Linked DNA regions of Notamacropus eugenii. The main gene of each other region encodes a partner of the protein of the gene in region 2 in a complex. Links are inferred from orthologs where the notes say so. Each region holds a gene or a part of one and is shown on either strand. Other genes may lie near its edges.

Evidence for each region.
Region 1: the proteins of LCK (region 2) and CD4 are in contact, whole or in part, in an NMR structure (PDB 1Q68), measured with the Homo sapiens proteins. The link is inferred for Notamacropus eugenii from reciprocal best matches to the Homo sapiens genes LCK and CD4. Residues at the interface, in NP_001036236.1 of Homo sapiens: Glu15, Ile17, Val19, Cys20, Asn22, Cys23, Tyr25, Pro26, Ile27, Val28; in NP_000607.1 of Homo sapiens: Ala429, Arg431, Ile435, Leu438, Leu439, Lys443, Thr444, Cys445, Gln446, Cys447.
Region 3: the proteins of LCK (region 2) and CD8A are in contact, whole or in part, in an NMR structure (PDB 1Q69), measured with the Homo sapiens proteins. The link is inferred for Notamacropus eugenii from reciprocal best matches to the Homo sapiens genes LCK and CD8A. Residues at the interface, in NP_001036236.1 of Homo sapiens: Cys20, Asn22, Cys23, Tyr25, Pro26, Ile27, Val28; in NP_001139345.1 of Homo sapiens: Arg212, Arg213, Val214, Cys215, Lys216, Cys217.

What each region holds. Positions count from the first base shown.
Region 1 is NC_092874.1:195,110,907-195,120,920, reverse strand, and holds the start of CD4 (T-cell surface glycoprotein CD4), read right to left. Parts: upstream 3,699-10,014; 5' UTR 3,427-3,698; coding exon 3,369-3,426; intron 1-3,368. UniProt on the Homo sapiens protein: Integral membrane glycoprotein that plays an essential role in the immune response and serves multiple functions in responses against both external and internal offenses.
Region 2 is NC_092876.1:77,612,125-77,621,544, forward strand, and holds the start of LCK (tyrosine-protein kinase Lck), read right to left. Parts: upstream 3,731-9,420; 5' UTR 3,576-3,730; intron 1-3,575. Other genes in the region: protein FAM167B, read right to left, coding at 6,481-6,756, 7,635-7,883. UniProt on the Homo sapiens protein: Non-receptor tyrosine-protein kinase that plays an essential role in the selection and maturation of developing T-cells in the thymus and in the function of mature T-cells. Plays a key role in T-cell antigen receptor (TCR)-linked signal transduction pathways.
Region 3 is NC_092872.1:725,236,916-725,247,167, reverse strand, and holds the start of CD8A (T-cell surface glycoprotein CD8 alpha chain), read right to left. Parts: upstream 4,571-10,252; 5' UTR 4,429-4,570; coding exon 4,374-4,428; intron 4,166-4,373; coding exon 3,797-4,165; intron 2,101-3,796; coding exon 1,990-2,100; intron 879-1,989; coding exon 771-878; intron 1-770. UniProt on the Homo sapiens protein: Integral membrane glycoprotein that plays an essential role in the immune response and serves multiple functions in responses against both external and internal offenses. In T-cells, functions primarily as a coreceptor for MHC class I molecule:peptide complex.

The DNA.
Region 1 (10,014 bases), on a different chromosome or scaffold from region 2:
GGTTCATCCTAATTCATGAACAAACATCAACCACATTGAAAGGGAATGTTATGTACTCAGAGGATATGAGTTCAAATCCTAGCACTACTACTAATTAACCTGTGTGACCTTGACCAAGTCACTGAATTTCTTTAGACTTCATAATCCTTATCTGTAAAAATGAGGAGAGTTGGACTAGATTGTATATAAAATCCTTTAGGCTCTAATTTCTGCGATTCTATGTAAACCATTTCCTTCACACTTCTCTGAGAAGGTGCTAAGGGACTGAGACTGACAGCTGGGTTGAGGAGGAAGCTGAAAAAAATGAACTGATCGTACCACGAAGTCTTGATGCATGTAACAGGAACATTACTGAGCATTTCCTTAAATTTAAATTTGAGCTGGGGGACTTTTGGCCTTGAGGGAACTTCTTTCCAGGGAGAAAGAGGAAGTATGGGTCATGATTCTCTTTGTCAAGCTCAGAGGAATTGTGACAAATATACTGGCCTTTATGCTACCTGAAGTAGGGAACTACAGAAGTGAGACTGGGCATGAACAAAGGAAAATCAAACTCACTGAGAACCAGAAGCGACAGAGCTTGGTAAAAAGGATGCCTAACCCACAGCTTATTTCTCTAATTTTCCTGCTTCCCTTTCCCCCACCAACTAGTAAAGATAAAAGGGAGGAATAAAAAACCTGCCACCCTCCTTCTCCCTGCCTCAAGTTCTATGGTGGCCTGACATACCTTATTTTAAATGCTTTGTGATCCTGATTTAAAGTTTGTGGACATTATGATTCATATCTGCTAGACTATTTATGAACCTGGAGAAAAATTTAGCAAGGAAAGAAGCCTATAAGCAGGGCAGAGTGGGAGCTGGCAAAGGTACCTTGGGCATCCACCCACACCCATAAGGGACCATCTACCCTCTCCAATCCCTTACTGGAAATTACAAACAAAGGGAATGGACTATAATTGGGGAACGGTTAAACAAATTGTAGTACATGAATATAATGGGATATTACTACACTGTAAGAAAGAATTCATTTGAAGAATACTGAGAAGTATGGAAAGACAGTGAACTGATCCAAACTTAAGTAAGCAGAATCAGGAAAGCAATATGCATAGTGACTACAAAAATATAAGAAAAGAAACTTATTGCTATGCAATTATAATGACAAAGCTTGACCTCAAAGAAGAGATATGAGAATGTACCTCCCTACCTTCTTTGCCGAGGTGGGAGACTATTGATGGAGAATACTGTATGTAACAGCCAGCTTGGTTGATGTGTTGGTTAGTTTTGCTAAACAGCTTTTTCCCTTTGTTTATCGCTTTTTTTAGAAGGGTTAGTTCTCTGCATGGGGGAATGGGAGAAACTTATTGGGAAATGATGATATAAAAACAAAAGATATCAATAAAAATTTTTAAAAATAAATATTACAACTATTCTGCGCAAGAAGAGGTTGAATATGCAGGTACACAAAGACTTGCACATAGTAGACACTGAATGAGCATTTGCCAAATGAATAAATGAGAGTTGAGAAGGGCTGAAAGTAGGTCATTTGTAAAATTGGTATAGCACTGAGAATGGGGCCTGGGGCAGGATGAAGGAGAGAAGGATGGATATTGGATGCTAGACAGGTTGTGGGGGAGGGAGGAAGGACTTTCTAGTTTGGAGATTGCCTCTTTCCTTGCCTCCTTTCATATTGGGCTATTGTCTTTCAGCCCTAAATCCTCCCCGTTCTGGAGTGGGGGGTGCATTTTCTATTCTCTTTCTAAACCTGCTCCTCCCCCACCACAGAGCCCATATTCCCCGGATCTGTGCAGGGGTTGTCTTCTCTTCTGTCCCACCTCTGGGTCCAGGGCTCACCAGAGGCTAAGGTTTTCCAGCTGCTTGTTTGCCTTTGCTGAGCGCCTGGAGCTCACATTTCCGCTGACCCTGGGAGGCCCCAGAGAGAGGTCTTTGATTCTCACAATCACCAGCCACCATGGAGACAGACTCGACATCCTGTGCCCCAGCGCTCCTCACCCCTTGTGAGAGGTGTGTGCACAAGCTTTGGTGTATCTAGCCCAGGGTCTCTACAGATCTCCCTGTATGGCCCTGAGTGTATCTGCCTGTATCTATGCTTTATGATACTGATACCTAGAACTCTCTGCGACTGCATTTCTGTCTCATACTTCAAGAGGCTGCGCCTCCCAGCCCCTCTGCTCCATTCTTAGCAACCTCATCTCTGGCTGCCACTCTGTTCTTTCTTTCACTTGTCTGTAAACACCATCCTGTTCCCTAGCAGGAACCCAGACATTTGGTAAGCTTTGATCTGAAACAGGTCTTCGAACTGAAAACAAAGACCACCACCACCACCACAACAACAACTTAAAACTCCACCATTCAGATATGAGTCTAGGAGGTAGAGGGCAGGGGAGGCAACAAAGGGAGGGGGTGCACATGAACAAAGGGACATATGGAGAGAGAAATAAGGAAGTCTAGGGAGAGATAAAGATAGAGAGCCCCAGAGCAGCTCATTAAAACAATTGATATACATACATACATCACACAATGCATGCTCAAGCCCCACGCAGTCACACACTCCAAGAGCAATTGAGACTAACAGAAAGAAGCTGAAAGAGAGAGAAGAAGAAGAAAGAGAGGGAGAGAGAGAAAGAGAGAGAGGGAGGGAGGGAGGGAGAGACTTTTTAATCATGGACTGCTGCCTCATTACTGCTAATTTTGAAGATTCATGGTGTTCCAAGATGGAAGAAATGGGAGAAAACAAAAGGGTTTGGAAACTAAGGTGGGAAAAGTCAGAAAGTAGAGGCCAAGATCATCAGATAAAGAATGGGGACTAAAATGGAAAGGTGTAGAAAGAGCACAAGGAAACAGAAGAGATAATAAAATGCACACGTTTATGTTTTTAGAAATATTTGTACACATAAGTAGAGCTCTCCAGATTATCTGACACTATGTCCCCAACCTCTGGGGCTGGGAGAAGGAGGGAGCAGGTTTAGGGGAGAGAAAGAGGGCTCTACTTCACCACAGCATCTGTATATGATCCCACAGACACTTTTATCTCCTCCCTCTGACCACCCACTTACCCCCTTACCCCTACCATAGGATGTGCCCCCCATTTCCCTCACACACCAATATCAACCACCTCCCCCTTACTGGTTACAGTTAAGTGAACTTCCTAAACACCACGATCCCTCTGAAGGGATCTTTGTGGTCTAGTTGCTGCAACCTCTATCATCCTCTCCTTTGACTCTGACACCCACTTGAGGGGGGTACAACTCCACCACCACCACCACCACCCCCTCATACCCTACGTAGTCCCCAGAGGAGCCGTGCAGAGATCAGCTCCTTCTTCCCCTCAGCCCTGCTGTCCCCCACCCCCACCTGATTTGTGCCTCTCAGCAAAGGAATCTGGTTTCCCATCCTGTGGTCTGCCAACCATTCCATCTCCCCTTCCCTTAGCAACAAGGCCCAGGCTACCGTTTCAGAGGGGCCTCTTTTTCAAAGGTTCTCCATTTGAAGCCAGAGGTATTTTGTACTTAAGATAACCTCCAAATTGACCTCCTCCACTCAAGGGAGCCATCCATTCTGCTTCCCCACCTTTGCTTACCACCACCCCCACCCCCCATCTGTGTTTTGTTTGGTTTTTCTAGAGGGAGCAAAGGGGAAGAGTTCTAAAGAGTTTCTAACCCTGACAGGGGAGGCCTGATAGCAGCCATTTTGTGTCTAGTGGACAAAAATCTAGCATTTCATAGGAAAATGAGCCTAAGATGAAATACTTACTTCCAATCCCTGCCTCCCCTGTTCTGTACTTTCCAATCCCCCATTTTGTTCTGCCCAGGGGTTCATCTCAGGTAGATTCAGAACCCTAGGCTATTAAGTCCTAGTCCTGACCCTATTGTAAAAGCAGAGTAGACCTAATTGAAATGAGAGAGAACCCCGAAATAGGGAATATGGGTGTTCCTTGTTGCTCAAGAACAGACTTATTCTCCTTGGACTCCCTCCAGAATAAGCCTGTTAAAAGAAGGCAAGACTGATGATGAAGCAAGCATACTGACCACCATCTGACAGAGAAGTAGGGGACTTCAGGAAAAGACTGAGATGTACATTTCCAGAAATGCCCAAAGAGTAGGTTTGTTTTGCATGATACGACTTATTTGTTATAAGGGAAGGTGTTTTGTTAAATGGAGGAGAGTGTTAGAAGAGAAGAGGGGGACTCTTGATCCTGATGCCAAAAGAAAGAAGACCAAAAAAAAAGGTAATTGTAACATTTTTTAAATCATAGAAGAGAACAGAATGAGGTTCTGAAGGAGAAACGGACAAGCATAACAATAGCTTTGAAACGAATATGTCGAATTTATTGTACTTTTTTAAAAAAGTTAGTATATATAATAGATTCATGATTTCACATGTAATCCTCTTTTTCATGAAAATATTGGTAATTATTCATGATCTTTCAACTTCAGAATAACAAAAAAAATTAAAGTTAATTTTTTAAATGGAGTCAGGAGAGGAACTGAAGAGTATCAGGGCCTCAGGGACTGAGCTAGCTTCAGTCTTGACGAAAGAATTAGGAAGCAGAGATGGAAAGCTGTTGCTTTGTAGGAACCAGCTGGGGAAGAAGCCTAAAATCACAGAATTGAAAGCTGGGAGAGCTGTTTATGACCATCTAGTCCAAAGGAGGCAGTGGAAAGTGAGGGATTTGGCATTCATAAGCTGGCCCTGCTACCAACTACCTGTTTGAACTTAGTCAAAAGCCATTTAATACCTCTCTGTCTTTCATTTTCTTGTCTGTAAAATGAGGGGATTCCATTAGATGGCTTCTAAGGCCCCTTCTACTTCTGCATCTATGATCCTACAAACTTCCTCATTTTATAGGAAAGGAAATTGAAGACCTAGAAAAGTAAATAAAGTGTTTTGCTCAATATCACAAAGGTAGTAAATAACATTTGAATCCCAATCCATCAGTATTTCAATCCATCAGTGTCTTCACCACACTATGACATGTCATCTTTACCACTCCAAAACCCAGAAAGAATGGCGATAGAAGCAAGTGACTCTCCTTTCTTCCTCTCTCCTCTCCTCTCTCCTCACCACTCTGTGTCTTTCATTTGCACCTTCTCCTGCCCTACCATTCCTATTTTTTTCTCTACCTCCTTCCTCCTCAATCTTAATTCCTATTTTTTCTTTCCCTTTTATCACCCCTTCATCTCCTGTTTCTTTCTTTGCCTCTCCTGCCCTGGAAAGTCCTTGATCCTCCATCTTCATCAGTTTCCTCACCATTTCTCCAGGCTTCAGTTTCCTTATCTATAAAAGGGTGAGGGAGAAAGGGTAAATTTATCATTTTTAGGGGCTTTCCTAGCTCTGAATCTATGATCCGATGATACTTTCTTATTTCCCTTACCTACTTAAATCCTTTGACCTGTGAATGAGAAGTGGAACTCCTATCTATCTTACCTCAAGTTGCCTTTTTTTTTCCTCCCCTCTTGATCAATATCTGGTCCACTGGTTCGTGCAGGTGTGTCCTCATGAGAACCTGGAGCTTTTTACCCAGAAATACAGTAGGAAGGGTTTTGCCATCTGTCAAGACTGTAATGGAGTGATAAAAGACAGGAAATCCGTCAGTGAAGCACTCTCCAAACTCCTGGGCCTAGCTTAACCCTTCACGTCATCTCCCTAGTTTGGGTCCCCACCCCTCATGACCTCTCAGTATTCAGGACTCAGAGTGAAATGTCAAAATGAAATAGCTTGAGTCAAGGGAAAAGCTGACCAAATGAAGAACAGAAACTACATTTATCAGAATTTCTACCAAATTGCAAAAACATTGGCAGTGTCATTTGGACTGGGCTTCCAGGAAAATGAGAATTTAGGAAGAGAGGAACATAGGCATGTGGGAATAAGAAAAGGAGTTAGGAACATCTCTAGAACTATCCCAGGGTAAATGATGGGCCTGTGGACTTATTATATGATGATATGCCAACTGACTTAGTATTTTTTTACATTTTACAGAAAGGTTGTCAACAAGGCCAGTCACATCAAGAAGTTGCTTCATAGTTAACATACCCAACCACTCTGTAGAGGCCATCCCACGAGGGGTCCAGAGGACCTTTCTGGACCTGATGCTTCACTTCTTTCATCACAGGTTGTCTAAGTAGACCAAAGAATATATTGATTGCTTCCTTTTCCTGGAAGGTGGGAGATATGAGAATGCTTTTACCAGGGCTTCTGGGAAACTTTTTAATAACGGACTACTGCCTCATTACTACTAATTTTGAAGATTCATGGTGCTCCAAGATGGAAGAAATGGGAGAAAACAAAAGGGTTTGGAAACTAAGGTGGGAGAAGTCAGAGAGTGGACCCTACTCCTAGATCCTCAAGTTTTCCTTGGGCCTCAATTAACATTGACACAGCTAACTGAAAGAATTTTCAAGCTCAAGATTTAGGCTGTTAGAGAGGAGATAAGAACCTGTCAGGAGATAAAGTAAAGGGCCTTCTTGTGCAGCTGTCTGTATTTGACTCTTTACCAAACACAGTTTGGTAGTAGCATTGCCTAAGTTCCCCTGTAAAGGCTAGAGTGAGAGATGATGGCTAAGACTGGGACAGATGGGGAGGATTCCTTTAGCATCACCACGAAGAGCTGATCCTGATTCCCTCAAATTCTGACTTTTTTCCCTCAGCACAAACATACACCTCCTTTTGAACAGCACTTGATACTTTCCCTGTTCTTAGGGCCTCCCTACCCCTCCCCCATTATAGATCTGAATAGTTGAATGCAGAAGATCTCCACATGGTTGAGGCAGCTGACACCTGCAGCTGTGGCAGAAACTGTCAGTCATGAGGGAGAATGCAACAAAGAGAGCCCTCTCCTCACGTCCTCAGAAAGATTTCCTCATCCCCAAACTGCCCCGCTCCCCACCAGAAGAGATGATGCTCATTCTCTGGGAGAGGACAGGAAGCAATAGGTTTTTGCCCAGTGACTCTGACCTGTGAGGGAACCCTGTATTTTAAAAAAATATACTTGCACTGAGGGAGAGGAAGCCACAGTGGCCTAACTCTCAATCCATGCTTTAGGATACTCAGTTTCAGTCTCCCCCTGACTAGTCCTTTGGCAGTCAGATCTCAAAATGGAAGGTTCAGGGGCTGGACAAAGTGTCTGAGTGTCTGAGGACCTTACTAACTTACTGAGTGATGATGCTCACTCTGCTTCCAGTTTACTAGATACATGCTGGTTAGACTCCCCCACTGGAGTCATGGAAGGAAGCCAGAAATAGCTAGAAAGATTGATGAATTCATTAGCATATCCCCTGGCCTGTTTGGTGTATTCAAAAGGGCCTGGGATCTGCTTATTCTAGCCCAAGGAATCGCCTAATCAACTTGAGCTTACAAGATGGTTAGCCTTTGACTACATCTTTCTACGGAAAGTATGACCATATTCTTTGGCACCTCATGGAAGATGGGTCTCAGTGACTGGGAAAGAATTGATTGGCTGGGATTGTTATGGAAGAAACTACCTTCTTTGGGTTGGGCTTATTAAAAAGAGCCAACAACTTGTTTTTTTCCATTTCCTGAGCACAGTTCACGGACCACAGGTTTCTTTTCCCACTATCCCCTTCCATAATAGGCAGCTCCAGAGACAGCTAGGTAGCAAGGTGAATAGAGCACTAGTCCTGGATTCAGGAAGACATGAATTAAAGTCCAGCCTCTGCTACTGTGTGACCTTGGGCAAGTCACTAAACCTCAGCCTGCCTCAGTTTCTTCAAGTGTAAAATTGGGATAATGATAGCAGCTACCTCCTAAGGTTGTTGGGAGGATCAAATGAGATATTTATAAAGCATTCAGCACAGTGACTTGCACATGGTGGGCACTTAATAAATGCATTTTCTTCTTTTTTTCTTTTTCAGGCTGAGGAAGTTTTGGCATCTTTCCCCAAACCTCAAGGGAAAACCTGAAGGTAGAGCCAACATGGTGTAGCAAAGACAGGGACTCACCTGAACTCTCCCCCAAGCCCCTCCAAAAACCCTTTAAGATGACTCTAAACAAATTCTGGAGCAGCAGAACCCACAAAAAGATGGAGTGAAACAAATTTCCAACCCAAGACAACTGGGAAGGTCAGCAGGAAAGGTCTGTTGCAACAGGGTCACAGGGGAAACACAGTTCAGTGCAAGCCACACCAGTACAGACCCAGCCTCAGCAAACCTGGAGCAGGTCTTGGAGCTATTGAATCAATAACAACAGTGGTGGTTTCCAGATCTCTGAGCCCACAGATGCCAAAGACAACTTAGAAGGTCATCAGGAAAGGTCTGTAGCACCAGGGTAAGAGTCGAATGCAGTTCACTGCAGGCTGAACCGGTACAGCCCTGGCCAACAAATAAGAGGCAAGCCCTCGGAGCTACTGAATCAACAGTGGAAGCAGCAGCAACTACCTCCAGAGGTACTGATGGTAAGGGGGTCAAAGAACTGGTCAGAAGTCAGGCAGAGGACACTTTGTTAGCACTGAGGCAGGACTCTGTTGCTTTGCCCTTACTCAGATCCAGGTTCCAGTCCTGGGTAGAAATCCCAGGGCAAGGAGGAGCATTAGCATAGCAGAGCTTGTGGCCACAGTAGAGCAAGGACCTTCTTTCAGCTCTAGGACAGAAAAGAGTGCTTGTGGTCATTCCTAGACCATAACACAGGTCAGGAAAGTGGTAAATTTCTCTCCTCAGTTCATGCTACCTTGGAAGAACTGAAAACTTTCAGGTCACTAGAATTATCTCTGAAAACAGCAGCACAAAACCCCTAAATCTTGGGACAGTGCACCTCCACCCTGGAAGCAGAAGCCCACTTTAACAAAAGATTAAAAGTCAAGTAATTAGGCTTGGAAAATGAGGAAGCAACTGAAAAAAAAAACTCTGATTCTAGAAAGTTACTGTGGTGACAAGGAATATCAAAACACATACTCGGAAGACAACAAAGTCAAACTCCTACATCCATAGCCTCCAAGAAAAATATGAATTGGTCTCAAGCCATGGAAGAGCTCAAAAGGGATTATGAAAATCAAGTAAGAGAGGTAGAGGAAGAATTAGGAAGAGAAATGAAAATGATCTGAGAAAATCATGAAAAACAAGTCAACAGCTTGGATACACAGGTTCAGGAGGATCTGTAGGGGCTGTTCTTACTTCTCTATTCCATCTAGGATCAAGCCCCTTTTCTCAGTACATTCTATATAGTTCATTAGTTAGTATACCATGTATGCTTCAAAAAATCAACTCCTGCTCTCAATAAAGCAGTAAACAATCATTTTCTTGTCATTCTATTCTGACTTGGAATCTGCTGGCTATTTACTCTTCTCTCTTGAGGAAATGTATCCTTTCCCCATTCTCCTAAGTCACTTAGCTGTGAAATCTTGTCCAGCACTCCCGAAAAAGGGTTCCCCATTTCCCCAATTATTAGAGTCAAAACTAGGTGTTTGTAAGCAGGAGGAGCCATCTTCACTATTATATTCCTATGAGAAATTGCAAAGAGGGTATCATAGTGTGCATCTGTGCCTCCCATCATTATGGCAGCCTTTATTACCTCCTCCTTTAACCTAAGTGAATGCAAGCCACATCAATAGGATACTGCCTACTGCAGCCTTCTGCAGCCAAAGCTAACAGATAAGTCTTAGTGTTACCTCCTTGCATATTGTAGTCTCTAAAGGCTTGCTGTAAAAAAAATTCTGACTGATAACCTATAAATTTCTTTTTTTTTTTATTAATTTTTAACATTTATTTTCACACAATTTTGGGTTACAAATTTTCTCCCCTTTTATCCCCTCCCCCCCAAATCCGAGCTTTCTAATTGCCCCTGTGACCTATCTGCTCTCTCCTCTATCCTCCCTCCCTGCCCTTGTCTCCGTCTTCTCTTTTGTCCTGTAGGACCAGATAACTTTCTTGACCCCTTAACCTGTATTTCTTGTTACCCAGTGGTTAGAACATTACATTTGGTCCTAACACTTTGAGTTCCAACTTCTTTAGCTCCCTCCCTCTCCACCCCTTCCCCTTGGAAGACAGGC
Region 2 (9,420 bases):
TCAGTCAGGTAGGGAGGAAAGTCTGTGACCCTGTCCTGCCCTGTCCTGCCCTGTCTTGCCTGAGGTCCCAACAGAACCAAGTTCCACTGCCCCCCAACTTAGTCTCTTCAATACACTGAGGATGACAGTTGGAAGGCTCTTCTCCCCAATCCCTACCCCTATCACTAAAGACTCACCTTGCCCCCTGCCCCATCTGATAGGATTCATAGTACATAGAATGTCAGAACCTAGAACAGAGAAAGCAAAATCTGGAAAGTCCTTAGTACACCCAGACTCCAGGCATTTCTCTGGCTGTCTCCTCATCTCCACCTCCTGGCTTCCTTCAAGTAGTAGATGACATCCTACCTTCTGCAGGAAGCTTTTCCTAATCCTTCTTAATGCCAGGGCTTTCTCTCTGCTAATTATCTCCTCTGTATCCTATATGTAGCCTGTTCGTACAGAGTTATTTGCATCTTGTCTCCCAGAATAAACTATGACTCTCTGAAAGCAGGAATTTTGTTTTTCCTTTCTTTGTTCTTTCTTTGTTTGTTGTTGTTTTGAAAGGCAATCAGGGTTAAGTGACTTGCTCAGGGTCATGCTACTAGTAAGTGTCTGAGGCCAGATGTGAAATCAGGTCCTTCTGACTCCAGGGCCAGCACTCTGATCACTTGGCTGACCCTCTGCTTTCCTTTGTAGCCCCAGCACTTAGCACAGTGCCTGGCACATGGTAGGTACTTAGTAAATGTTTGTTGACTGACTTACTGATGGCTGAGAGGGGCTTTAGAATCCACTGTCTCAGAGACAGAAGAAATCTTAGAACATAGAATATTACAGGACCATCAACTACTAGACTTAGAGTGAGGAGGGAAATTAACGGTGCCCTTGTCCAACTTCCTTATTTTACAGATAAGGAAAATGAGCCCTTAAAAAGGGGAGGGTTTTGCCTAAAGATTCCCAGAAACTAAAGACAGCTGAGCTTGGATTGGGTGCCAGGCCCTGTTCCTCCAAGTCTGCTGCTCTCCCCATCATGGATCCCCAGAGAGGCCCATGTCAAACACACATGAACAGATACATTACTTCAAAAAATTCCGTACAAGGTCATTTTTGCCCCTATCCCCAACTTGGGAGAGGAATACTATTGGCGATAGTAATGGCACCATTAAACTACTGTCCCTTCCATATTTCTGTGGTTTATGAGGCATCATCTCTGTGACTGCTTTCTTATGCCAGCACTCTCATCTCCATTTTATCAGTGAAGAAATTCAGCCTGGCTCCCAGAGGAGCGATGTTTGGATGACTACTAAAGGTCTGAAGCAGAACTCAGACCCAGGTTTCCAGGTCCCCAAGTTATATTATATCTCTGTGGAAATTGTGTTTTGAAGAAAACTCCAGTGGGGGTGGAGAGTAGGCAGGGAGCGCCCCAAGGCAGGTGGCACTTCAGAAGAATGGGTAAGAGAGGGGGCTTCCCCCTGCACCCCAAATTGTTGCCCTCTATCCCCTGAAGTTTCATCTTGCTTCTTCAAGACTTGGAAGGTGTTTGGTTTTTTTCCATCACAACAGCCTTAGGAAAGGGTGGGGGAATTGTTCAAAGATGATCAGAGTAGTCACAGAGGTGAGGCTTAGGAACACAGATCACAGATTAGTTTTTAGTACTGGAAAGAACCCTGAGGTCATTGGGTCTAACCTCCCTCATTTTACAAAAAAGGAAACTGAGCTCCAGAGATGAGGAGTGATTCATCCGAGGCAGTTAGTGGCACATTGGGAATTTGAACTCAGGTCCTCTGACTCCAGATTCATACTCTTTCCTCTATACCACAGACTTGAACCCACGTCTCCTGACCTGTCCAGAGTTCTCTCTTGGTTTGACTTAGGAGACAGATGATGATCATGGGTGTGGGGCCAATGTTCAACTGGTCTAGACAGCAAGCCTCTCTGAAGTTAGGCCTCACCCAGGGGAGAGAGATGATGAAACTCTCAGTAAGGTAGCAGGCTGTGGCTTCTGCTAAGACTGTCCTTGGTGGGGTAAAAAGGTTGAGGAAGGAGGAAGGTTTCGAAAGGCCACTAAGAGAAGGTGATAGAAAATCAAAAGGATTGCACACAGCTTGTAAGGCCCAGATGAGATCAGATAACTTTAAATCTCTGAGGCCCTAGGAGGTTTGGTCCCAAGACTTCCTTAGCCAGCATCCAGTGGAGAAGGAAACTTTCCATAGGAACTCCAGGGTCAAGCTCCCACTGCCAATCATGCCCCTCATCCTTTCCCCACACCAATTTAAAATAGCTTTTCTTCCTTCCTTTCCTCCCTTCCTTTGCCTGGCCCTTTGGGGCCGTCTTTTCATGAAGAATCTCAATCCCACGTCAGAAATCTTCCTTGACATGAGCATCCAGGAAGCTCGGATAAACCTTTCCCTCTCACAGAGAACTCTGGCAGCAAAAGTCACTGGAGTGCCTGGTTCTCTTTCCTACAGAATTCTGACCCCATCAAGTCCTTAAGCTTCCTGATGGAATTTTCCTCCATTCATCCAAATGACCCAAGAAAATAAAGCTCTGGTTTCCTCTTGCCTCCGGGATGATGAATCGAGAACTAAGAGAGCTTAGGGGCCTTCTGACACAAATCCCTCATTTTACAACTAAGGAAACTGGAGCCCAGAAGAGTTAAGAGACAAGGAAATGAATGTCAGAGGCAAAACTTGAATCCAACTTATCTAAATCCTCTCTCCCTTTACCACATTGGGAGAAGTGCATTGGACAAAATGAGGAGGCCTGGGTTGTAACCTCATCTTTGCCACTAATTAGCCATGTGGCAACTCCTTGCTCTTTTCTGGGTCTTAGATTCTACCAAATGAGAATCAGTCTGAACTAGACTAGACGGTCACCAAGTTCTAGGAGCCTACAAATATTCATTAATAAGGCACTTGGGGAATTCCCAAAGGACTCTTCGCATCTAGTCTCACCCGATCCAGACAAGGGGTCATTTTAGGTTCCACCTTATTATCTACTCCCCTCCCAAGACACTAGATACAATAAGAACCTTTCTGGTTCTCTTCCCTCCAGCAGTTGGCTCCTGGTCACTCTTGTGACAACGTCCCTGTTTGGTTTGAACCCAGCTCCTCTGTCTCCAAATCCATCTCCCCTGCTACCCAGTCAATATTCAGGGACTTCCCCAAACCATTCTTTGAGGAGGTAACCTTTGCCCCCAGGGCATCTATGTATGGAGCTGGCATCAGGATGTCCAAGGGTTGCATCACAGTGACTGTGTGACTATTGTTGGAGTGCCCATGGGGTGGTATCAAGGTCAGGGGGGTCCTCAGAGACAAGTTGGGAATCTGTGGGATTAGGGTAGAGTCACTGTGGGGCCTGTCCATAGGGCCAATGCCCGTGTGCCCCATGGCAAAGTGATACTGTGACACCCACAGAGCTTGTCAGGGTGCCCATCAATTAATGTCACAGGTCTTATTAAACTAGCTTTCCTCAATGACCAGATAGACAGAAGTCTGAAATTCTCTTAAGACCTTCTCTGGTCTTTCTTGCCCTCACCTTAGGGGCTGCTGACCTTTCCCTTTGGAAGCTCCCGTAAGCCCCGTGCACTCTTTCCTTACCTGCCTGATATGTTCACTGAGCCTGGTTCACATGGTCCTTCTTGTTCAGAGGCCCCATCACCACCCAGAGGATGGATGAGGCTCCCAGCTCCTTGTCGCTGCCTCAATTTGCCTTCTCAGCACCCAGCCCACGTCCAACCCCAACTTCCTGCCTCCTCTTGAGAGAATGAGTGAGAAAGAAGGCGGCAGCCAACCCCAGAACCCCAGTCAGGCCCTCCCTCAACCACAAGCCAAGAACAACAGTGCCAACCACACCCCTCCCAACATCCAGGGGCCTGATAGTAGGGAGCTGTGGTCACAGAGGGTCCCAGGGAATTCCTAGTATCCGTGGGTGGGGAAAGAGGGGGACACACCATAGAGAGCATTTGATGGTGAAGTAGAAATTGCCCTGGATTCGGAGTCAGAGGACCCAGAATACCTCCCTATCTCTATTACTTGTTAGCTGTGTGACTTTGGGTAAGTCTTGTCCCCTCTCTGGGGCTGTCTTCTATAAAATAAGCTGATTGGATTAGATCAGGGCTTCTTAGCATTTTTTGTGTCATGGACCTCTTTGGAAGACTGATAAAACCTATGGAAATTCTCAGAATTTGCATTTTTAATCATCATTGAAGGAAATGATAAATTCCACTTAGAGGGTAGTAAAAAATAAAGATGGTTCTTTCCCATCCAAGTTCATGTACCCCTTCTTCCCTCCCCCTGGGAAATGTGGTCATGTATCCATCCCATGGTAGTCTGGTGACCACAGGCTAAGATGATTCCTAAGGATCTTTTCAGAATGAAAAGTCTGGGGTTCTGTGAAGAAGACGCCATGGGAGCCCATGGGCTGAAGAGGTGGGGGGTGAGGGAGGACTCACAAAGGGGAGTAATCTCCCCCTCCATCCCCACCCCCTCCTCCACATAGACCAATTTGCCATTGGCTTGATGTGTGATCTTGTCTCAGAGTTTCCTTTTCCATTTTTGCAAGATAAAGGAAATAGAAATCAGAAATTTAGAGACGAAAGATGACATGGGTCATCTAATTCAAACCATTTGTTTTAAAAAGATGAGGAAACGGTCAACAAGTCAGTCAATAAAGATTTATTAAGCACCTACCACGTGCCAGATAGTATGCTAAACCTTGCGGATATAAAAAGAAACAAAAGACAGCACCGCCTCCAGGGAATTTACAATCTAACAGAGCCAGAGGAATTGTCTCAGATTGTCCAAGTAGTCAGTGGCAGAGCGAGGATTTGAACCCAGGTCCTCTGATTCCAAAATCCACATATTTTCCACTGTCTCACCCTACTTCCTTCAGACTAGATGGTCCCTAAGGACCTTTCAACATTTTATTTTGGTGACACCAAGTGGACCCTAGCAATGCTGTGGGAAAGATGTCCATCTAGGTTCACTGCCAACAGAAGATGGGTATCCAAACTCATACACCAGCTCCTTAAGGGGCAGAGATGGACAGTCTGATGACTGTGCCCCAGCTAGACCCAGTGAACCCTGCCATGGTTGAACCAAACTAGAGTGACCCATTCCTGCGACACAAACAGCTCCCACCCCTTCACCTTGAGCCAAGCTGTGAGGAAAGGGGAGGGGGATGGGGACAGCAGAAGAGGATGCCGCAGACGTATTGTTGGGGTTTGAAAGGTGGAAATTGATGCTGGTTCTGCTCACCTCAACTGAGGCGGGTGAGGAGGGCAGGAAATGGGGGAGGGAAAGGAAGCCAAAGACAGAAAGTAAGACAAAGAGATGTGAACAGCAGAAACAAAAGTTACAGAGGGACAGAGAGAGAGAGAGAGAGAGAGAGAGAGAGAAAGAGAGAGAGAGGGAGGGAGGGAGGGAGGGAGAGAGGGAGAGAGGGAAAGAGAGAGGGAGAGGGAGAGGGAGAGGGAGAGGGAGAAAGAGAGGGAGGGAGAGAGAGGGAGAGAGAGAGAGGGAGGGAGGGAGAGAGAGGGGGAAAGAGAGAGAGAGAGGGAGGGAGGGAGGGAGAGAGAGAGAAGGAGGGAGGGAGGGAGAGAGGAAAGGAGGGAGAGAGAGAAGGGAAGGGAAGAAAGAGGAGAAAGAGAAGAGAGAGAAAAGAGAAAGAGGGGGGAAAGAAGAGGTTTAAGAGATAGAAGAGAGAGTGACAGAAAGGAGAGAGAGGAGGAAGAGGAGACAAAAAAGAGAGAGGAGAGAAGGAGAGAAGAGGGAGAGAGAGGGGGAGGGAGGAGAGAGACAGAGACAGAGACAGAAAGAGAGACAGAGATGGAAATACACTGAGAAACAGAGACCAAGAAACAGACAGCCACACACACACAGGAAAAAAAGCCAAAAACCAGATGACAGGAGAAAGAACAGACACAGAGCTAAATGAAAGAGAAGAGTTGAGGACTTCTGGGTCAGAGACATGTTTTCCTCCCTCAAAAACATGCACACCTGGTGTCCTCGATCTTTCCTGCAGTGACATGGAGCACTAGATCACACCAGGGAGTCTGTTTGCTGGAAAGCCTGAGAAAGTGTGAGTGTTCCTACTACAAGCCCTGAGAGCACTCCTTTATCTAGGTCAGGGATGGGGAACCTGAGGACTTGAGGTTACATGTGGCCCTCTAGGTCCTTAGGTGCGGCCCTTTGACTGAGTCCAAGTTTTACCAAACAAATCTTTTTATTAAGGGGATTTGTCCTGTGAAGTTTGGATTCAGTTAAAGGGCCACACCTAAGGACCTAGAGGCAGGTTCCCCACTCCTGATCTAGGTAGCTGGAGAGCTGACTCTGGGAAGGCTGAACAGCTCTCTCCCTCTCTATAGGCAGTGAGTTATGGTCCCTCTGTGCCCTGGGTGACTGCATCCCTCAGATCAGGGGTAGCAGAGCACCAAGGTTTAGGGTGGGACACCCCTGTGGGAGAGCAAAGGATGCTCAGCTGTGTGCAGCAGGGCCTGCCTGCTCAGCAGAGGGTGAACCGACGAGCACTGATGTTCATCCGGGTGAGGCCGATGTCCCTGAGTGGGGGCGCCAGGAGGCGAGTGGGCCGGAGAGAGCCTGGGCTCAGGAGCTCCGCTGCCTCTCCAAAGCCTAGACACTCAGCTTCTGCCTCCAGTTCAGCATCATCCAACAGCTCCTGGTGCTGCCTGCAGATCTGTTCCACCTTTAGCTGGTGCATTCGGGACCTGAGGCGCAACAGCTGCCCTGCCAGCTCCCGGTCCTGGGCTCGCATCTGCCTCTGGGGGGAAATGATTGAGGCTGGGGATTCAGGGCCCTGGCTTCCTGCCCTTTATTTTGGGCTGTGGGCAGAGGTGTCTCTATCCTGTGCCTAGGCAACTTGAAACGCCAACATTCTATGACCCTGATCCTCTCAGTCCAGCTCAGCCCTTCCTGGCTCCTCCTTCCTCTCAAGCCCAGCACTACCCTCTCCTCTCCTCTTCCTCCTCTTCCAGGAAAGATAATAATAACTCCTATCCTATGGCCTTGGAGGATTTATAAAGTACTTCCTCTCCACCGTCAGGGGAGGGGAGTGGTTGGGACTGGGACCCAAGTCTTCCAACTAACAGAGCTATTTCCCAGCCTCTTGAATAGACTCAGGGACTCATCTCTGTCTGTCAACAAAGATTTATCAAGCATCTACTATGTACAAGGAATCAGCCTAGGGGAAGGGGAGCCCCACTCTTTTATTGAATATTGCATGACTGAGGACAAGGCCTTCTCTCTCCTTACCTCCACTGCACCCCAGACTTCAGCCTCCCCTAAGTCCATAGGGAACTTTGGATCATAGACCAAGAGAGGGAAGAGATACTTAGAGATCATCCAGTCCCTCACTTGACAGGTAAGGAAACTGAGGCCCAGGGTGGTGAAATGATTTGCCCAAGGTTCCACAGTCAGGGGAAGAGATTTGAATGAGGTCTCTAGCTCAGAAGACAATATTTTTCACATACATTGCCCCATGCTACCTGTCCCAAAAGGGCGTCTGCCCCCAAATCCTGAAATTGTAAGGGCAAGGTTACATTCTCCTCCTCAGCTGGGGCTTCCCTTTGTGTGTCTCTCCCTTAGATGGGGGCTCCCTGACAGTGAACTACTCTTCTCTATCCCACACCGTAGACTTACCAGCTCCTCTCTTAGCCACTGCAAGGCGTCATCCAGAGTGTGAAAACCACAAATGGCTCCAGATTCTGGTTCCCGCAGTTCAGCCCTGGCCTGATCTCGGTGCCAGGCTTGGCTTTGGACCCTGGCTGTCCACTCGAGGTATGAGGGCCTTCTGGTCTGTAGATTTAATTTGGCAGTGAGTGCCTTCAAGTTGTCCAGGGTCTCCTCCTCCTCACCCAGGGCCCCAAATGCCAGGGACCCCAGAGACATGGTGATGGCTGTTCTGGTGGGACCAGAGAGGTGTGATGTGTTTGTCTGTCCCTCTTTTGAGGGGGACAGATGGTTAAGTATCCCAAAGTAGGAGGTAAGTGTGTAAGGTTGAGTGTGTGGCTTATTTCCCTGGAATCCTGTAATAATGGGAACTCACGTGACCCCCAGAGGAAAGGGATGGGGCGTTGGGGGAGGGGAAGCAGGATCTCAGTTTCTCTGGCCTCAGGGTCAAATTTAATTGTCTCTGCCCAAAAGGAGACACCCTTCTCTCTGAAAGGAAACTTCTACAGGGCCAGGGAGCCACTGGGGACATTGGCTTTGCCCTTTGGCATCTATCTACTTCTCTTCCCACCTCTCCCAACCAAATTGAGCGGGTGCCACTGAGGGAGACATCTCTAAAACTCAACTTGATGCTAGGGCAGAGTGTGGAGTCCCAAGCTAAATCAGGGGGCAGAATGAGGAGTCCCAGCCTGGAGGGTGGCAGAATGTTGGATCCCAATGAGGGAGTAGAGAGTGTGGGATACCTGGCTGGGGGTCACAGAGATAGTAGCCCAGATTTGATGGAGGTAGAATGTGAGTTCCTAGTCTAGAGAAGGACAGAAGGCTGTGAAGGCTATGGGGTCCAAGCTGGGAGGGAGGAAATAAATGTATGGGGTCCATCATGGAGGGAGGCAGTGGGAGATGCTAGCTGGGTTGGAATACTCAGAGTAGGTATCTAAGATGTAATTCTGGGAGGAGATAGGCATTGAACCTTGGCAAGCTCTTGGAGAGGTATCGAAATGGGCTCCCCTGTGGTACCCTAAGCACCAAGGACCAGGACCCTCAAGTGAAGAGCCAACTGCCTCCAGGGGGCGCTCCTGAACCGATGACCACCAGAGAAGCTGATGGATACAGTAGTCATTTAAGGTGGCCTTGAGGGCACCCAACAGAGAGGACTAAATTTAAGTCTTGGGAAGGACCTTAGAGACCAGCTTGAGGAGCAGAGAGAGGAGGGGACTTGCCTGAGAACCTAGGACCAGCTAGTGATAAAACAAACAAACTGGATGTGCCCACTGATTGGGGGATGATTGAACAAATTGTGGTATATGAATGTAACAGAACATCATCTCCCTGTAAGAAACAAGGAATAGGAAATAAAAGAAACATGAGAAGGCATGTATGAACGGATACAAAGGGAAGTTAAGTAAAGCTGGAGAAAGATCATATACACTGACTCTGAATGTAAAGGAAAAGACCCCTTAGAAAGGGTTATGTGAAGGAAAGGGGAAATACATTTCTCCCTCTCCTCCCTTTCCTTGGAAAGATGGGCAAAATAAACACTGTTTGTCACGGTAAAGAATATGATTTTGGCTTAACTGCATTTCTTCGTTATAAGGGAAGGTACACTGAGGGTGGAGGGAGAGGCATGTATCTGGAAATGATTGTGATGTAAGCACAAGAAATACCAAAAATGCATTAATTTAAAAATTAGTGGCAGGACTTCTGACCCAGGCTTCTGATTACAAGGCCAGAGGACTGATGTAACTAGGGAATGGAG
Region 3 (10,252 bases), on a different chromosome or scaffold from region 2:
GGCTCTGTTCAAGGGTCACCTTCAAGGACCTTTTTCTGATTCCTCCAGTCACTGGGGCCTGATTCCATCCCAATCACTGCATTTATACAGTGAGCATCCTATCTCTCTGTCAGTGCTCCTTGAGGGTAGAGGTTTTTGTTTCTGTTTCCCCAGGACCTGTCACAAAGGGATGGGAATGAGATCTTTTTCACTCACCTCCCAGGGAAGGAAAATCCCTCTCCCAGTGCAGATCAGCAGGTATCTGAAGCCTAGTCTCAGAGAGTTGCCTGAGGGCACCGAGAGTTTAAGTGATTTGGCCAGGATGGGTCAGAATATGAACCCACGTGTTACTGGCTCCCAGGCCAGGAACTCAATCTGCATTTTAATATGGCAGATTGATTGTGGACTCTACTTGGCTAAGTCATCTCTAAACTGGTGATTTTTAGGGCTTCAGGAAGATTCCAAGGCCAAATAAAGCCTTCCCTCCCAATACCAGTCCTGGGGCTTCCCATAGCTGAGCTCTAGGCAAAGGGGTGTGCTAGTAAGAGCCCTGTTTGGGGGAATCAAAAGACATGGGTTTAACTCTCAGCTCCCACTAGCTGCTTAACATTGGGGAAGAACACTCTATGATGCAGTGGGGAGCATTATGGACCCAAGGGAACTGTTTGGGGATGGAGTGAGGGAGTCATATCTATGCTTCTGGAGTTCTGGGGACCAAGCAGTTGCTCTGCGAGGAGGAAATGTGTACTGGAAGTGGATGGATAGGTATGGAAGGAAGGGTTGCTTCTTACTCTGGCAGATGGTAATGGTAGTGATCAGGGCCAGAAACAAGACAACACAGACGCCAGCGAGGGGCACCCAGATGTACAGGTCACAGGAGAAATCCAATCCCTTCTTTCCTGTATACACAAAACAGAGGGAAACTCAATGAGACATGTCAGATCCTGGTCTTCCTAACCTTGTCAGGAAGCTGGGTGTCAGCAGAGGATTTGGGAGAGCACCACCAGAATGAAGACAAAATCCAGGAGACCAAATAGGAATTCCCTCTGAGTCGTAGGGACCCAGGGTCAGTCCCCAGCCTGCCTGTCTCTCTGGGAATCCTGCTAGTTAACTCTGTCTTATCGCATCTTATCTGGCCAAAGATATTCTTCTCTCTAGAATTTAGAAAAGGACTGGTAATTTCTTCTCAAGGAACCCTGTTCCTCAGTAGTGGTGGAACCGAGCAGGACACACTTCTCACTTCCCAGTGTGATTGTCCTTGTTTCTGTAAACTCTCCAATGCCTACATAATAAAGGATAAACTCCTGGTCCTGACAGTCAAAACCATCCCTCCTCGTGTTGTACTCTCCCTTCTGTGGGTCTTTGTAGGCCATCTCTACCAAGGCTGGAACAGAAGCCTCCACATTTCCTGCCTTCATCTGTTGAAATCTCTTTTCCTTCCAGGCTAACTCAGACACAACCTCCTCCAAGAAGCCTTCCTACCAGTCTCTCCCCACCCTCCACACCCTGAAGTAATTTAGTCACCCCACCCTCTAATATGCAGAGCCCCTCTATGGACTGATCTCACTCTGACTTGTATCATAACTGTGATAAAAAGTGCACTTAACCATTCTCTCCCCTTACTCCAAAATAGATTATAAGCTGCTTTAGAGCAGAGGCTGCATAGCAGCAATGTTTTAACCTTTACTGCCTAATGTGGTACTTTGCACATAATAAGAACTTAATAAAACATTTGTTGAAATCCCCATGCCCTTCATTTGCGAATGTCTTTTGCTTCCTGCTAGGGCAGCACTGAGGGCTCTGAGAAGGGGGATAGAAGACAGGAAAGGGTAAGCAGATAGAGGTGGGGATGTACGTGGTGGTTGAAGTCCAAGTTTTTGGTCCAGGGTCTCCAACTATAGTGCTAGGTTGGCATCACCCTCCAAATGCAGTGAGAGATGTCAGGGTTAGGCTGGAACTCCCTTGACTAAGAAGTTGGGAGAAGAGAGAAGGTTGGAGTTATTTCTTCACCTTGTTTCTTGGCGGTAAGCTTGCAGTTTTCAGAAATCTGGGTGGAAGTGCTGATGGTGGCTGGAAGAATGGTGGTCTTGGGTTTGGGTGCAGGGGTGGTGGTAGCCTTTACTGGGCAGAGACAAAAAGGAGGAGAGTGAATCAAGTTGATCTGTATAGCTCCCCCACCTCTTAATCTTTCCCCATCCTTTAAAAGTACAAATCATTCTCTCTCTGATCTTTATCCCCAGGCAAGAAACACTCGCCCTCTATTCTCAGTTGAATGCAGAGATATAGGGCAGTGGGCATCTATTATCCTTTTGCAGAGCCAAACAGTCCCAAGTCCTGCTCAGGAGTCCCTCTCTAACACTCTCCCCAGGCTGGGAGCAAAGGACACATTAGCACAATTCCATCGGTCAATGGAGGACATTTCTGCCAGCACCCATGCGCTCAGCACCATTCATAAGACAAGAAAAGAAATGGAGTCAATTCTTGCAGTTTTCAGTTGACAGGTTGGCACTATCTAGGGATGGAGCAGGGCCTTTGTGTTTCTACAGGTATAGAGGCTGATTTTTTTATCTTTTTGCTATGAATGAGTCATCCATATATCTGTCCTTATCCATATTATATGTGTGTGTGTGTGTGTGTGTGTGTGTGTGTGTGTGTGTGTGTGTATTCTTGTGTTTAAAAACCCAGGGGCAGAATAGCATGCTCTGGGAGCAAAGAGCAAGAGATCACTGGATGAATTTTAGGTCAAATAGTCTTGGGTTCTAATCTGGATCCTGCTCTGAGCAAGTTGCTGGACCTCTCTGGGTCTCAGTCTTCCTCTCTGAAGCACTCTCTGAGAGTGGAGAGAATAGGAAAACCACTTGGGGCTTGGAGTCAGAAGCCCTGGGGCTTAGTCCTGTTCCTAGCTAACTTCGGTATATGACCTTGGAAAATCAATGGAAGCCCCAGTTTCCTCATCTTAAAAAGAGGGGTAATGACATCTGTGGTACTTAACCTCAGTTAGTTACATGAAATGATACACAAAAAATACTCTCGGAACTTTAGAATACTTAGATGGGCGTGAGCTCATTATTTTAGAACTTTGACTTCTGTGATGCTGATTATAACCCGACCCATGCCTACTCATCCTGAGCCACGCCTGTCCTGGTCCTCCCTTAAGTTCGCCACAGGGCCTCCACTCATTATACTTTCTCTTTATGTCGGAAAGGTACAAGGTCCAAACTTTAAAAGGCTATCTTAATGTCAAGCATTTATCATTATTGAAGTTGTTATATAACTTTTCTCCTAATGTGTGCATGGGGTCTATCTGGGTCCCCTTCAATTTAGTGGGGATCGGGTGGGGAGGGAGATCTGGAGATCTGGTGATACTAAGGAAAGTTGAACTACTGATGTCTCTAATAATAACAGTGCACATTCATTTAGGACTCCAAGGTTTGCACAACCCTTTGCATGTATTAAAGGTTCAAAGATGTGTAAGTAGAAGGAATCTTAGATGCATCCATTTTACAGAAGAGGAAAGTGAAGCCCAGATTTTTTGAATTCTGTTAACCCTCAGTACCCAAGATGTTCCGAGTCACTCAGCCCTGAACGCTCTCCCCTAATGCCTTGATTTCCTGGGGGCAGGACTACCCACTGGTATTCTGGCGCTGCTCGGGAGGCTGCCCCGCATCCCGGTCCTATGGGAGCCTCGGGAGTGCCTGGGACAATTCCCACCTCTACTGCACCCGTGCGTGCATCCATGCGCTCTCCCGGGCGCGCGGAGGTAGGGGCAGCCCGGTATTCAACCCTCCCCGGACCCCAGGGATGACCAGACCCTGACCTGGCAAGAAGACCGGCACGAAGGGGCTGAAGAACAGCGCCGAGTTCCGGGTGACCACGCAGTAGTAGTAGCCCTCGTCCTCCTCTCTGAAGTTCTGCAGGGTCAGGCGGTATGTGGAAGACGAGATCCTTTCGCCCCGGAATCGCTTGGGGTCCAGGTCTTCGGCCAGCTTCGCGTTTGAGCTAGTGCTCGAGATGAAGAGCAGAAAGGTAGGGACCACTTTTCCAGGGGCCAAGCGCAGCCACGAACATCCCGTGGACGAACTGCTCAGCGTCTCGCACTGCAGCTGCACCTTGTCGGATGGCCGGACGTCCCGCTTCTCCAGGGGATTCATCCGGAATTTCAGCTGTGCCTGGGACCCGACGGACTCTGGGAAGGAGAGAGCAAGAGACTGGGCAGAAGAGCTAGAGCCCCATGGTCCTCTGCCTGGGACTCCCCACACCACCAGGCTGCTCCCTCAGGGTTCCGAACGCCCGGAATGCTTCCCTCCCCTCCACCTCCAGGTTGGCATTGGCCGGGATGTTCTGGGATGGACCCCGGCCAGGTCACAGATTCTGGGCTCCTGTTGGTTACTCACGGAGCAGTAGGGCCAGCGGCAGGAGCAGGGATCGTACAGCCAAGAGGGAGCCCATCCCTAGCTCCCTTGCTACTTCCCGCCGGGCCGGAGGGCCGGTGAGCAGTCTCCCTAGAGCTGGAAAGCTGGGCAACTCCAGGTAAGAGAAGGGGGGCCCAGGGTGAGGAAGCTTCTCTCTCTTGCTCTTTGGAGATCGGAGGATGTGATGTCATTTGATACCCCACAGAAAAAGAAAAAAAAAATCACTCTCCCTGAGCTGGCCACCTCCCACCTGCATGTGGTGGAGAGCTGAGGAAAGTAAGGGGAAAGAGAAGGAAAGAGGGCAGCATATGGGGCTGAGCTGTGGGAATCCTTCGGAATCATCCATTGGATCCAGTCTGGAGCCCAGGACATCTTTCATGGGCAACGGGAGAAAGGGGCAAATGGAAGGCTTGCGATGTGTGTGCGGAAATCGTTTGGAGAGGCCTACCCTTAATTTGTGAGCTGACTTGATGGAGAGGAAGGGAGAGAAGAGATGCTCAACTCAATTCAACCAACACTCGTTGAAAGTTAACTATACACAGAACACGGCCTCCGGAGGGTGGGCTGGGGTGGGCCAGGAGCAGAAGCACAGTCCCATTTGCGTGGAACTTCCTTACAAAGTCTTCAAGGGGAAGAAGGGAGAGGAAGTGAGAAAGAGAGGAAAGTGTATAATGGTACCCTTGGACTACTAACGTTGGATCAGAGCAGAGGTCCTTAACTTGAGGTCCATGAGTAGATTTCAGTATGTCAGAACCTCCTTGGGTTTGGGGGAGGTAACTTCTCAATTTCTTTTAGCCTCTAACTGAAACTTAGCATCTCCTTCAGTTACGAAAGTAGGCAACAAGGGTAATTATGAGAAGAGTTCGATGGACTTCACCAGGATGCCCAAAAGGCCTATGACACTCAAAAAAAGTTCAGAAATCCTATTCTAGAAGATCATCCATTTAGAGATGCAAGAGGAGCCTTGAAGGCCTCGTCCAGCTCCCCTCATTTTAAAGAGGAGGAACAGAGGCCGAAGGGTTAAGTGATTTGCTCTGTCACAGAGCTAGTAAGGGTCAAATCCTCTGACTCCCAATCTAAACTTTCCATTGGACTACATTACCTCAGAGGTTAGATGATAATATTTCTTAAGTCCCTGCTATGTGCAATGGATCATAGTTTCAGCCTTTACTCCTAGTATAGGGTTTAGATTTTAATGTCTTCCTTTCTACAAATGGCATAGGGATGCAATGACTGGTACTTACTATGACTCTTCTCAAGGATGCTATAAGGGGTTGACTGACTGAGCAAATTATATATTTACCCACTGCCATGTGCCAAACACTATCCTCTCCTTTAGAAATAGAAATAGAAAAAGTAACACAGTCCCTAATCTCAAGGAGCTTCTTTTAATGGGGGAGACAAAACATTTAGAAGGTTTCATTTGCAAGTCAAGTGGAAAGACCACACAGCCTTTTGGGTGATGATGCATCTCTACTTCTGTCATTTTCGTGAATAAAACCATATCCATTTCTGATGTTGAGCCATTTGGCATCGCCAAGCACTTTGGTGGTGAGAACTTTCTTTTCTGGGTCTTCAGTAGCTGTGGCTTCAGATAAAATTCTTGTTTCTCTTGGATGACAGGGTTTAAAAGTCTAATAACTTCTGTGTGTGTTTGTAGATCTGTAAAACCTAGGGATGTTTTCTGTCAGGTCTAGGAGCTTTCCTTTAGGCTAGAATGAGATTGGAAGAGGCACACTTTTACCAGAGCTCTTATTTAGAATCATGGAATCATCAAATTTGATATATTATTATAATTATATTATTATAATATTATATATTATTATTAATATTATAACGGGCTTTCCCCGCAAAGGAGTCTTTTACTCCAGTTGGGGTGATCTGGATCTCCTTACCTTGGGCATAACATACACTTTCCTCATTCTGGGTCTCTGTTCACTTGGACCGTCTCCTCCTGTATCCCCTTTTATCCAAATCCTGCTCCTTCAAGGCCTAGCCAAAATGCCATCTCTTAGAGGAAGTCTTTCTGGATTTCTCCAGCCCATTTTGGATTGATCTCTCCTTTCTCTGAATGCTGATGAATATTGAATGGTAATTAGTGGTAACTGGTGTCATTGCTGCTGACTGGTGGAGTCCAGGGTTTGGGGACAGGTGCAAATGCCCAAAGATGGAAGATGGCAGGCTATGCACAGGGAAATGATTTATAGGTCTATAGAGTGTGCAAAGAGAAAAAAACGATGTCTGGGAAGGTGTGCTAGAGCCAGAGTGTGAAGGCCTTATAATGTCACAGAGAGGAGTTTACATTGTATTCTGGAGATAAGACAAAAACACTACTGGAGTTTCTTTTTTATATGGTACAGTATTATTTTCATTTATTTTTTAAATGATATTTTATTGTTTCTTCCCAGTTACATGTAAAAACAATTAAAAACATTTTTTAAGTTGTAAGTTCCAAATTCTATCCCTCCCTCCGAGACAGTGAGTAATCTGATATAGGTTATACGTCTGCAATCACGTAAAACATTTCCGTATTAATCATTTTGTTCAAAAAGGCTCAGAAAGAAAGAAATGAAAAAAGGAAGGAAGGAAGTGAAAAATAGGATGCTACAGTCTGTATTCAGATAACATCAATTTTTTCTCTGGAGACAGATTGCATTTTTCATCTTGAGTCCTTTGGAATTGTCATGGATCATTGTATTGCTGAGAATAGCTAAGCCATTTACAGATCTTCCCACAATGTTGCTGTTAACAATGTCTCCCTGGTTCTGCTAGCTTCATTTTGTATTAGTTCGTGTAAGTCTTTGCCATTAGAGTTTCTTAAGCAAGGAAATCATGCTTGTGCTTTAGGTATATATCAGTTTAAATGCAGTGAGACGGAGAATTGGAGAGGAGAGAAGTAAAAAGTTAGGAGGTTATTGTCATAGTCTAAGAGAGCTGGAGATCTATAGGGGTTGGCTTGTGGGTGAGAAAGGTGGAGGTTGAATAAGATTTGTCAACCATTGTTTGTGGAGGGCGACTGAGAAAAGTCCGATGACTTTAATATATGTCATGCGTAGGTCTTAACTTCCTACTGCTGTATTATAAGCCACCTTAGGTCAAGAACCCTCTCTTATCTAATTTTTAAAATCTCTCCCAGTGCCCATCTTGGAGCACTGGAAATGTTAAGTACTTAATAAATGTCTATTGATTGAATTCATAAATGCATATGTGAAAATGACGATGATTGGAAAACCATCTAAGTCAGTAGTTTTTGCATAGCTACCAACCAACGGCAAAGTCATTGGCTTCCTCATTCTTCTGGTAGTGAATTTAAAGGATTTAGAGCTGGAAAGGACCGTAACTACTGTCAAATCCAATCCTCTTATTTTACAGATGAAGAAATTGAGGTTTGGAGAGATGAAACGACCAAGGACCTGAGGTAGTAATTAATAGATCCAGGATTAGAACTCAGGTCCTCTGATTCAAAATCCAGGATTTTTTTGCACTCTGCCTGGCTGTCATCAAAGGAAAAGTAATAGCTCACATTTACATAGCATGTTAAGTTTTACAGAGTGCTGTACATACATAATCTCATTTAACTCTCTGGGAGGTAGGTGCTAGTATTACCTCCATTTTAAAGATGAGAAGACTGAGGCAGAAAGAGGTTAAGTGACTTGCTCAGGGCCACACAGCTCCTAAGCCTCAAGCAGGATTGGAGTTCAGGTCTTGGCTCTCTCTTAATGGCACTTTCTGGCTGCCTCTCATGGGGTTCTACAGGACCAAGCAACCGCAGGAGTCCTTTGTTGTTAGGCGGCCACAAGTGAATTGGATCGGTCTCTTTTCTGACTGGATCAAAGTTGCCAATGAAATCCTAGATTTCATTGATGGAGTTAAGCAATTGGATTCAGTGTGAATCAGAAAAACAATCTACCCAAGGTCAACAGTAGTATAAAGATGAATAACAAAGAGAAGCAGAATTCTGTCATTGTAATGACCATCATTGCCCAGGAGCCCCCGGAAGAAAACACATCTCTCTCCTTTTGGTGGAAAGATGGGAAGATTTAGGGGTGAAATTTGGTCTACATTGTTGGACCAGCAATCTTGCTGGTTGACTTCATTAAATTGTTTTTCTCTGTTAGAAGAGAGGCATCAGAGCTTTGGTGGGTGGTAGGGTGGTGGATAAAGAAATGACTATGACATAAAAACAGAAAACAACAATACGCTTTGGTTTTGGATGAAACCTGCCATTTTTTTGGGGAGGGGTGTGGGATAGTCTCAATCTGGAAATTCCCTCTACCAAATGCAGATCTCAAGCTACTCTGTAAAACATAGCCTTAGAAAGTTGCCTGAGACCATGAGGAGTTAGATGACTTGCCCATAGTTGTGGGGTCATCAATTTAGAGGGAATCAGGACCAATCCCCTCATTTTATGGCTCAGGAAACTGAGGCACAGAGCCTCTAAGTGACTTGCCCAGGGCAATACAATTTGAGCACCTGAGGCAAGATGTCTTTCTGACTCCAAGTCTAGCATTCTACTCACTGACCCACACTGTTTTACTCTCTCTTCAACACTCCCTGCATTTCCACAAAATAATAAGTAATTGAACTTACTTAAAAAAAAATCAAGATTCTTTATGATGCCTAGGGTGAGAGATGGGGAGGGGATGGTAATACACTATGAAAAAGTAGACATCCAAGTATCAGCCTCCAGGAAACCAGCTGCAGCTGCCTAGGGTTTCTTCCATCCTTTGAGCTCAGAAAAGGCAGTCGAGCCCAGGCAGGCTCTTTGTACTGAGCTACAGTGGAGGGGCACAATTCGAAAGGTGGGTGTCAATCCCACCCAGGTGGTTTCATGACCCCAATGATATTTGTGCCGATCTCAGTGGGGTTTCAACAAAACCACAGTGACTTCCTCCCTGTGAGAAGCATGCAGATGCTGTTAAGTTGTGCATGGAGACCCTGACACACTGCAGACCAAGATGTGGACTTAGCCAAGTCTTTCACTTCCCAAGTCAGATGAACTCACAAGACCCATATAGGACCATGGACACAACGTGATGGGGAAACAAAACCAAATTGCATGAGACAGACTGATGGCTTGGATAACATTCAGGTCAATGTAGAGAATCACAGAAACTCAGAGTTGGGAGGGTTTTCAGCTAGTCTCAGGTATCATGGGGCACTGGAGACCATGCAGTGTGTAGAGTTTGGAGGACCTGGTTTCTAATCTCAGCTCTGCATTTATTATTTCTGTGGCCTTGGACAGTCTATCTAACCTCAAAGTGTCTCACTTTTCTCATTTGTAAGATGAAGTTTGGACTCAATCAATCAACAAATCTGAATACCTTTTATGTGCAAGGCACCACATTAAGTGATTTGGATGTAAAGGCAAAAAGGAAACTGTCCCCTACCATCAAAGAGTTTATATTCTATTGAGGGAGACAACAAGTATTGTAACTATGTGAAAAATACATCAAGATAAACAGATAAGTACAAAATAATAGTGGTGGTGGGGGGAGTGTTAAGTAGCTGGAGGGATGAGGAAAGGGCTCATGTAGAACACTTGATGACCTCTAAGGGCTTGTTAGCTCTGAATCTATGATCCTACGCCTTCCAAGATCATCTTTAACTCTAGACTCCATGGTTATTGATCTAGGTCCTGTTCTAGGCTGAGAATTCCCTCTACCACACCATTAGTTAGTAGCTAGCCAGTCTTGGCTTAAAGATGTCCAGAAATAAGACTCCTACTACTCTCTGATGTAGTTCAATACAATTCTGGACAATTCTCATTATTTACAGGGTTGGCAATGGAAAGAGTTCCTTACTTCAAGCTGAAATCTGCCACTTTGTAATTTCTACTCACTTTGGGGCCAAGCAGAAAA